Linked DNA regions of Macaca mulatta. The protein of the gene in region 1 interacts with the protein of each later gene in a pairwise test. Links are inferred from orthologs where the notes say so. Each region holds a gene or a part of one and is shown in the gene's direction. Other genes may lie near its edges.

Region 1 (4,579 bases):
GTGGTTCATGCTTGTAATCCCAGCACTTTGGGAGGCCAAGGCGGGAGGATCATGAGGTCAGGAGATCAAGACCATCCTGGCTAACACGGTGCAACCCCATCTCTACTAAAAATACAAAAAAAAATTAGCCAGGTTTGGTGGCAGGTGCCTGTAGTCCCAGCTACTTGGGAGGCTGAGGCAAGAGAATGGCGTGAACCCAGGAGGTGGAGCTTGCAGTAAGCCAAGATTGCGCCACTGCACTCCAGCCTGGGTGACAGAGCAAAACTTGGTCTCAAAAAAACACACACACACACACACAAACACAAAACAAACAAACAAACAAAAAATTAGCTTGGCATGGTTGTGCACACCTGTGGTCCCAGGTACCTGGGATGCTGAGGCAGGAGAATCGCTTGAGCCCAGGAGGCAGAGATTGCAGTGAGCCAAGATCATGCGACTGCACTCCAACCTGGGCAACAGAGTGAGACTCTATCTCAAAAAAATAAAACATCATAAAATAATAATAATAACATCAATGCACACCCCAGAACTTCATCTAGTTTGTTCATGTTCCCAGTGCAGTGATGCAATCACGGCTCACTACAGCCTCAAACTCCTGGGCTCAAGCAATCCTCCCACCTCAGCCTCCCGAGTAGCTGGGACCACAGGCATGAACCAACATGTCCAGCTAATTTTTGTATTTTTAGTAGAGACAGGGCCTTGCCATGCTGCTTAAGCTGATCTTGAACTCCTGGCGTCAAGCGAACCTCATGCTTTGCCTCCAAAAGTGCTGGGATTGCAGGTATGAGCCACCTCACCCAACCAAAACCGTATTTTTTTTTTGAGATGGAGTCTCGCTCTGTCGCCCAGGCTGGAGTGCAATGGTGTGATCTCGGCTCACTGCAACCTCTGCCTCCTGCGTTTTCAAGCAATTCTCCTGCCTCAGCCTCTGGAGTAGCTGGGATTACAGGCATGCACCACAACAGCAGGTTAAGTTTTGTAGTTTTAGCAGAGACGGGGTTTTGCCATGTTGGCCAGGCTGGTCTTGAACTCCTGACCTCAGGTGATCCACCTGCTTCGGCCTCCCAAAGTGCTGGGATTACAGGTATGAGCCAATTCACCCAGCCAAAATCTTTTTTTTTTTTTTAAATCTCAGATCCTGAGAATGACCATATGAGGTAGGTATAATGTAATTTTCATCTCATGAATGAGGTTCAGAGAAGTCAGGTGACTTGCCCAGGGCCACACAGCTAGTGGGCAGAGAGCTGGAATTTGAGCTGGAGTGTGCCCATAGCCCTTCCGCATACCCTCCCTGTCTCTTGAGTGTGGCCCGTAACCCCAGCCTCACCTGGTGGTGGCAGATGTGGCCTCCCCACTGAGGGCTTCTCTGTGATGTCCCACAGCCCTCATCCTCACCCATGGACACATTCAGGCTGTTGTCCAGAGAGCCTGGCTGTAATTTGAGTCTCACCAAGCAGGGGGTGACGGTGTGGGTGGGCGGGTGACAGCCAGGGCAGGGAGATTTGCCCAGACACTGGTACACAACAGCCTGGCAACCCGTGTGGCCCCGAGGAAGCTGGGAGCCTTCAGCGTGCATCCCCGAGTCTGGGCTGTGGTTCACACCATGGGCAACAAGCAGACAGTCTTCACACACGAGCAGCTGGAAGCGTATCAGGTAGAGGGGTCAGGAGGGGTCCTCAGTGGGTTTGACAGCTTTGGTTCCGTGGTCTGGGAAGTGGGAACAGAATCCCTTCATCCGGGTGTACCGTCTGCCTGGGTTCCTGGTTCGTTCGGCTCTGTGTGTGGCAGCATTGGGCCATCTGTGTGAGTGTGGGGTGGAGGGAGGAGGCCATGGGAGGAGGCCCCAGAGGCAGGGTTTGGGTTAAGACAACACCTCTCTCCACAGGACTGCACGTTTTTCACAAGGAAGGAGATCATGAGGTCAGTCCAGGGAGGTGGAGAGAAAAGATCTGGAAAAACAACTTTCTATTCATTGCTGGAGGATATTTGCAATTTGGGGTGTGTGTGTGTGTGTGTGTATGGTCCTTCTTCCCTTCTTCCCTTCTTCCCTTCTTCCCTTCTTCCCTTCCTCCCTTCCTCCTTTCCCCCCTCCTCCCTTCCTCCCTTTCTCCCTTTCTCTCTTTCTCCCTTTCTTTCCTCTTTCGTTCCCCTCCCTCCCTCCCTCCCTCCCTCCCTCCCTTCCTTCTTTTCTTTTTTGTTTGAGATAGGTCTCTATTGCCTAGGCTGGAGTGCAGTAGTGCAATCGCGGCTCATTGCAGCCTCGATCTCCGAAGATCAGGTGATCCTGCCACCTCAGCCTCTCGAGTAGCTGGGACCACTGGTGCGAGCCGCCATGTGCACCTCATTTTTGTATTTTTTCGTAGAGATGGGAGTCTCACTACGTTGCCCAGGCTGTTCTTAAACCCCTGGGCTCAAGCAATCCACCTGCCTCAGCCTTCCAAAGTGCTGGAATTACAGGTGTGAGCCACCATGCCCAACTGGTATTTCCAATTTGATGGGACTCAAATGGGGAAGGGGGGCAGGTGTGGTCAGTGCATGGAGGCAGAGATGGAAAAGCTGAGAAGTCACATCTTGTCACATTGTCCCAGTCTGTAGGCTGATGAGCTTGGGCTTTCTCCCAAGGGTGGCAGGGAGCCATGGAGCATGCATGAGCAGGGCAGAGAGCATCAGCTTGTTAGAAAGAGTCTCCTGAGGCTGGGCACGGTGGCTCACGCCTGTAATCCCAGTACTTTGGGAGGACAAGGCAGGTGGATCACCTGAGGTCAGGAGTTTAAGATCAGCCTGGCCAACACGGTGAAACCCCGTCTCTACTAATAATACAAAAATCAGCTGGGCGTGGTGGTGGGCGCCTGTAATCCCCGCTACTCGGGAGGCTGAGGCAGGAGAATTGCTTGAACCTGGGAGGCGGAGGTTGCAGTGAGCCGAGATCACGCCGCTGCACTCCAGCCTGGGTGACAGAATGAGACTGCGTCTCAAAAAAACAAAATGAAAGATAAAGATTCTCCTGAGACTGGGACTTGAGGCTGGGAGCCCAGGTGCAAAGTCCAGAGCCCACTACGGGTTGCAGGCTTGGCATTAAGGTGAGGGTATGGGGAGGTGGCCCAAGGCTGCTGCATGTCCCTGGTGTGACCGAGCACGATGGGCACAGATGAGAATCCCATATCATCACTCAGCCTGTGGGGCCATTGTCCAGGGGCCCCGGCCCATGAACTTGGAGCTGTGAAACCCAAGCTGGCCAGGGTTCGGCTGCAGTGTGATCGGGGCCAAGGCCCCAATTGTGTAGTAACAGGACATCCATTATTGATGGCCACACCTTTTACTCGTGAGCCCCATTGTCTGGGTGAGGACAGCTTGCAGGGTCACCTTGGCCATCATGATCAAATTACCGATGGGGAAACTGAGGCTCAGACAGGGTAGGGCTGACCCCAGGCTGAAGGGTAGATGCACAGAGCCCCAAGGCGGTTGAAGGCTGACATTTCGTCTGTCCCAAACTTCTTGCTTATCAGATAGAATAACCAAGGCACAGAGCGGGAGAGGAACTTGCTCAGAGCCATACAGAAACCTAAACCCAGGATATTCCCTGAGGGGACCCCGACAGGGAACTGAGTGGTCAGGAGGGAAGTTCTAGGTCTCCCCACCCTACCTTCATTGAATTCCTAGTCATCATATGACCCAGGGACTCGTGTCTCTCTCAGAGAGAGTCCCTAGCAGCTTGGGAACCTCAGACCCACCAAGGATGGTCTCTGCAAGGCTGCTGCTCAGCATGCCCTAATGAAGGTATGGTGTCACCAGGTGAGGGTGTCTGAGTGGAGAACTGGCCTTACAATCTAGATAGTGTGTGTGGTATTCAGTTATTTGCAAAATGCCTTTTGTCTGCCCTTTAGAAAAACGTGAATATTAGCTGTGTGCCTCTGCTCTGACCCGTTTGAGGAAACCGTCCCCCCCCTTTTTTTTTTTTTTTTTTTTTTTTGAGATGGAGTCTCATTCTTGTTGCCCAAGCTGGAGTGCAGTGGCATGATCTCGGCTCACTGCAACCTCCTCCTCCCGGGTTCAAGTGATTCTCCTGCCTCAGCCTCCCAAGTAACTGGGATTACAGGTGCCTGCCGCCATGCCCAGCTACTTTTTTGTATTTTTAGTAGAGATGGGGCTTCACCATGTTGGCCAGGCTGGTCTCGAATTCCTGACCTCTGATGATCCGCCCACTTCAGCCTCCCAAAGTGCTGGGATTATAGGTGTGAACCACGGCACCCAGCCCCTTCCTCCCATTATGAGGAGAGGAACGGAATGTATGAAAGTGAAGGTATCTTTGGAGGCAGGGTCTTGCTGATAACATGACGATATCCAGAGATGTGTGGATTATAGAGGATTCTCTGAATGCTTGCTGTGATCTGGCCATAAGCACCCTCCCTTCTCCCAACTCCATCTGCCTTATAAACTCCTACTCATGCTTCAAAGCCCAGCACCAATGTCCCTTTTCCAGGAACCCCCTTTTCCCTAGCTTGCTTTCCCCAGTCCAGTCTCCCTTTGTCCTGTGGCCCTCTCTGCACCTTGGCCCTGCCCCCAGGGAGGTAGGGGTGCC
Region 2 (3,813 bases), on another chromosome or scaffold:
AAATGGTCTGCAATTTCAAAATTGTTCCTTTTCCGCTTCCCCTGTCAGAAACATGAGATTTTTCTCTGATATTTACTGTGAGGAACTGGTATATTTCCTGGAGGTAAAACTTACGAATGTGTGGGAGCTCTCCAATGATTGGGTCCTCCTGGAGTGTTTGTTTGTTTGTTTTGAGACCGAGTCTTGCTCTGTCACTCAGGCTGGAGTGCAGTGGCACGATCTCAGCTCAGTGCAACCTCTGCCTCCCAGGCTCAAGCAATTCTCCTGCCTCAGCCTCCTGAGTAGCTGGGATTACAGGCACGTGCCACCACACCAAGCTAATTTCACAGACTTGTCCACACAGCCTCCAGCAATTGCTTAATTACAGCTTAGGTTTTCCTACCCAAGGACTGCGTCCCCTGGAGGTTTCTGCTCATGGGTTTTTGGTCCAGTAAATTGTGATTCTCTATATTCACCTGTCTGTATCTCCAGTTTTGTTTTGGGGGCAGCTGTTTGCCCTATAACCTCACTTCACTAACAAATATAAAAAAGAGTTGTTGATTTTTCAGGTTGTTCAGCTTTTTACTTGTTATTACGACAGAGTGGCAGCTTCTAAATGTCCTTACACGCCAGACTGGAAACTGGAAATCTTGTGTCTTAGTTTTTACATTTATCTTTCCTCTGTGGGACGAGTCAATGCTATAGTCATGTGTGTGTGTGTGTGTGTTTCAAATTGTTGGTTAACAGTTATTTGAAAAGAAGTACATGAAAACGTGCATATTAAGAAATCTTGGGCCAGGTGCGGTGGCTCACACCTGTAATCCCAGCATTTTGGGAGGCTGAGGCAGGTGGATCACAAGGTCAGGAATTCGAGACCAACCTGGCCAATATGGCAAAACCCCATCTCTACTGAAAATACAAAAAGTAACCAGGCATGGTGCAGGCACCTGTAGTCCCAGCTACTCAGGAGGCTGAGGCAGGAGAATTGCTTGAACCCAGGAGGCAGAGGTTGCAGTGAGCCAAGATGGCACCACTGCACTTCAGCCTAAGGCGACAGAGTGAGACTCTGTCAAAAAAGAAAAAAAGAAAAGAAAAGGAAAAAAAAGGAAGGAAGGAAAGAAAGAAATCTTGAAATGCAATTGCATATTCACTAACACAACTCTATCTGTGCCTCATATTTCCTTTTCCGGGCTCCCATATTTGTGTGCTCCCATAACCGTGTCCCTCAGCATTTGCTTTCCAGCCTGCTAACCTCTGGCACTACTTTGATTCTTCATTACTCCCCCTTACATTTTCAGTAAAAATAAAATGAGTGTAACTGAAGTTAGAATCTGACTCTTTATACAAAGCTATGGAGCAGCAGGAAATTCTGAGGTTAAGTTTCTCAATGCTACATTCTTTAAAAACATCGGTCAGCAACATTATTGTGTAGGCACTTGTCGGTTCAAGGGAATTGGTCCTGTATTTTATTATTACAGGGCTGTTACCATTTCCTACATTTCAAATAAAAGAAATTGATGTTACCTCAAAATATCTTAGTTATATCTGAGGTGGAGAATGAGGAATATGATGTGAACTTTTGTGTGTTGGAATCCTAGTTCATTTATAAAAGCGGGCCTGTGTGCTTTTGTGTCCATCTCTTGCTGACATGGCCAACTCAAACCTAAAGTTCTTCATCAAGAGGAAGAACCAACCTTTTTGTGGTATTCAGATGAACCACAAATGAATCTGGATATATGGTTTCATATTTTATATTGATTGTTTAGCCTTAGTATCACAGGCAGAAGCTCTGAAGGAAGAAAATGACAGCCTCCGTTGGCAGCTCGATGCCTACCGGAATGAAGTAGAACTGCTCAAGCAAGAACAAGGCAAAGCCCACAGAGAAGATGACCCAAACAAAGAACAGCAACTGAAACTCCTGCAACAAGCCCTGCAAGGAATGCAACAGGTAAAGGCATTTTGGTTTTCTGAGCTTCTGGGTAGAATAGCATCAGCTTCTCACCTGTAGAAGAGTCCCCTGCAAGCAAATCGAATATCAAACCTATTCTTCTTCTTGATGTAATATTATCTGGCATGGCTGAGGAAGGAATTATTGTTGTGGTTAATTAAATATTCCAGTTAATACAGAGATAGCAATGGATTGCCAATTTTCAAAGAATGAGCATTAAATGAAAAATATTTAACATTAGACTACACTGAACATAATCTAATCTTTTCCTTATGCTTCAGAAGGTACTTAGGGATCTAGACAGGGCCTCAGGGTCTTTACGAAGAACCTCAATTATTTAGATATGAAAAAATGCTGATGAACACATATCTAGTTGATAGAATACCAAGAAATATAGCCTTTTAAAAGGAATGGCAGGAATCTACCCTTGATTTGAGTAGAAATAGGTACATTATAGGTTTTTAAGTGTCAATGCTTTGAGCGCATAATACCAACTTGTTTTTATTTTGTTTTGTATTAACAGTCACTTATGTGAATGAGTTTACCTGTGCATAATTCAAAGTGTAAAAAGCAAAGTAAATAAATGCACCCAACTGTGATTGCATTCACAGAAGTGTAGCAGATGTTCAACATCTAGGAGTTTTATGTAACCATCACCACAGTGATTCTACAGTTTAAAAGTTATCAACAGCTGCCTTCACTATAGTAAAGGAGTAGTGCCTCTGAGTAAGGCCACTGTTGTCTTCTGTCATGCTAGACTACCAGCCATTGTCCTTATACCTTAAATTGTGCAATAGTTTTTAACTGTATGCCTTGAAATTATCTAGGGCAAAGCAAATTGCTGGTTGGAAATTACAAATCATGAACAATGGTCTATTCTGGCACTAGGAACCCTAAGTTATTCTTTCTGCCACCATTGTCTTCCTATACAACAAGTAATATGACATTAATATTTCACCTTTTCTGTTAACAAAATGTGTGAAGTAATGCTCACCTTCCTTTTACCATCACCATGGAGTTTAATTAGAACATGTAAATTATATCATAGATCTTTCTATGGAAAAAATGCACCTCCTCACCTACACTTCAAAGAATTTTGACAATGTACATTGTACCATGCTTTTTAGCCCTTCCAATGGTCTTTTGCAAGCCTCTGAAAAGCACGACTTTGGAAATATTTTTGTTGTTGCTGTTTTTCCCCTCTTTGATTTTCAAACCATTTCACATAAGGATAGTTCTGCTACTTAAATGAAATTCAAAAATGATGAAATTTTATTTTGTTTCATCACTTCAAAGACCTCAGTGAGAATTAGGTCTCTACCTCTTAAAAATAATTTCACTCGTTTTGATTATTTTGTATTGAAAAAAAAATGCCTTGTAAACGATGATAAAATTTCTCCCATCTTATCTCAAAAGATGTATAGTATAATAAGGTGTGTAAGGACATGAACTCTGGGGTTGACCCAACCTGCTTTTAAATCCCAGCTCTGCTACTGACTATCTGAATGGCATTAGGGAAGCCACTTAACCTCTCCTAGCCTTAGGGATCATAGTAACATAGGGTCATTGTGAGGCTTAATTGAGACCGTGCATATAAAACCCTTAGCACAATGCTTAGTACATATTAGGCACTCAAATAAATATTATTTGTTGAAATTATTAGTAATGAAATTATTAGTAATTAGCTAAATATAGCTTCCTGCCTACTTATATGGAAACTAACATATGTAAAATTTGGATTCTTTACTACTTTCCTCATAGAAATTGAACTTGGCTTGGCAAATGGCTATTTGCAAGAATGCTTTACAACATTACATTTACTTCTATGCAGCAATCAAAACATTGCCCACACAGTATTAACTGCACCCTACTTTGACCCCCGCCCA

What was found.
Region 2: the proteins of CIB3 (region 1) and ENOX2 interact in binary tests that used the Homo sapiens proteins (3 or more experiments, as listed by UniProt). The two-hybrid records come from large-scale screens. The link is inferred for Macaca mulatta from reciprocal best matches to the Homo sapiens genes CIB3 and ENOX2.

The regions. Positions count from the first base shown.
Region 1 is NC_133424.1:16,649,501-16,654,079, reverse strand, and holds the start of CIB3 (calcium and integrin-binding family member 3), read left to right. Parts: upstream 1-1,559; 5' UTR 1,560-1,603; coding exon 1,604-1,654; intron 1,655-1,885; coding exon 1,886-1,920; intron 1,921-4,579. UniProt on the Homo sapiens protein: Acts a an auxiliary subunit of the sensory mechanoelectrical transduction (MET) channel in hair cells. Plays a role in regulating hair cell MET channel localization and function.
Region 2 is NC_133426.1:137,100,811-137,104,623, reverse strand, and holds part of ENOX2 (ecto-NOX disulfide-thiol exchanger 2), read left to right. Parts: intron 1-1,745; coding exon 1,746-1,927; intron 1,928-3,813. UniProt on the Homo sapiens protein: May be involved in cell growth. Probably acts as a terminal oxidase of plasma electron transport from cytosolic NAD(P)H via hydroquinones to acceptors at the cell surface.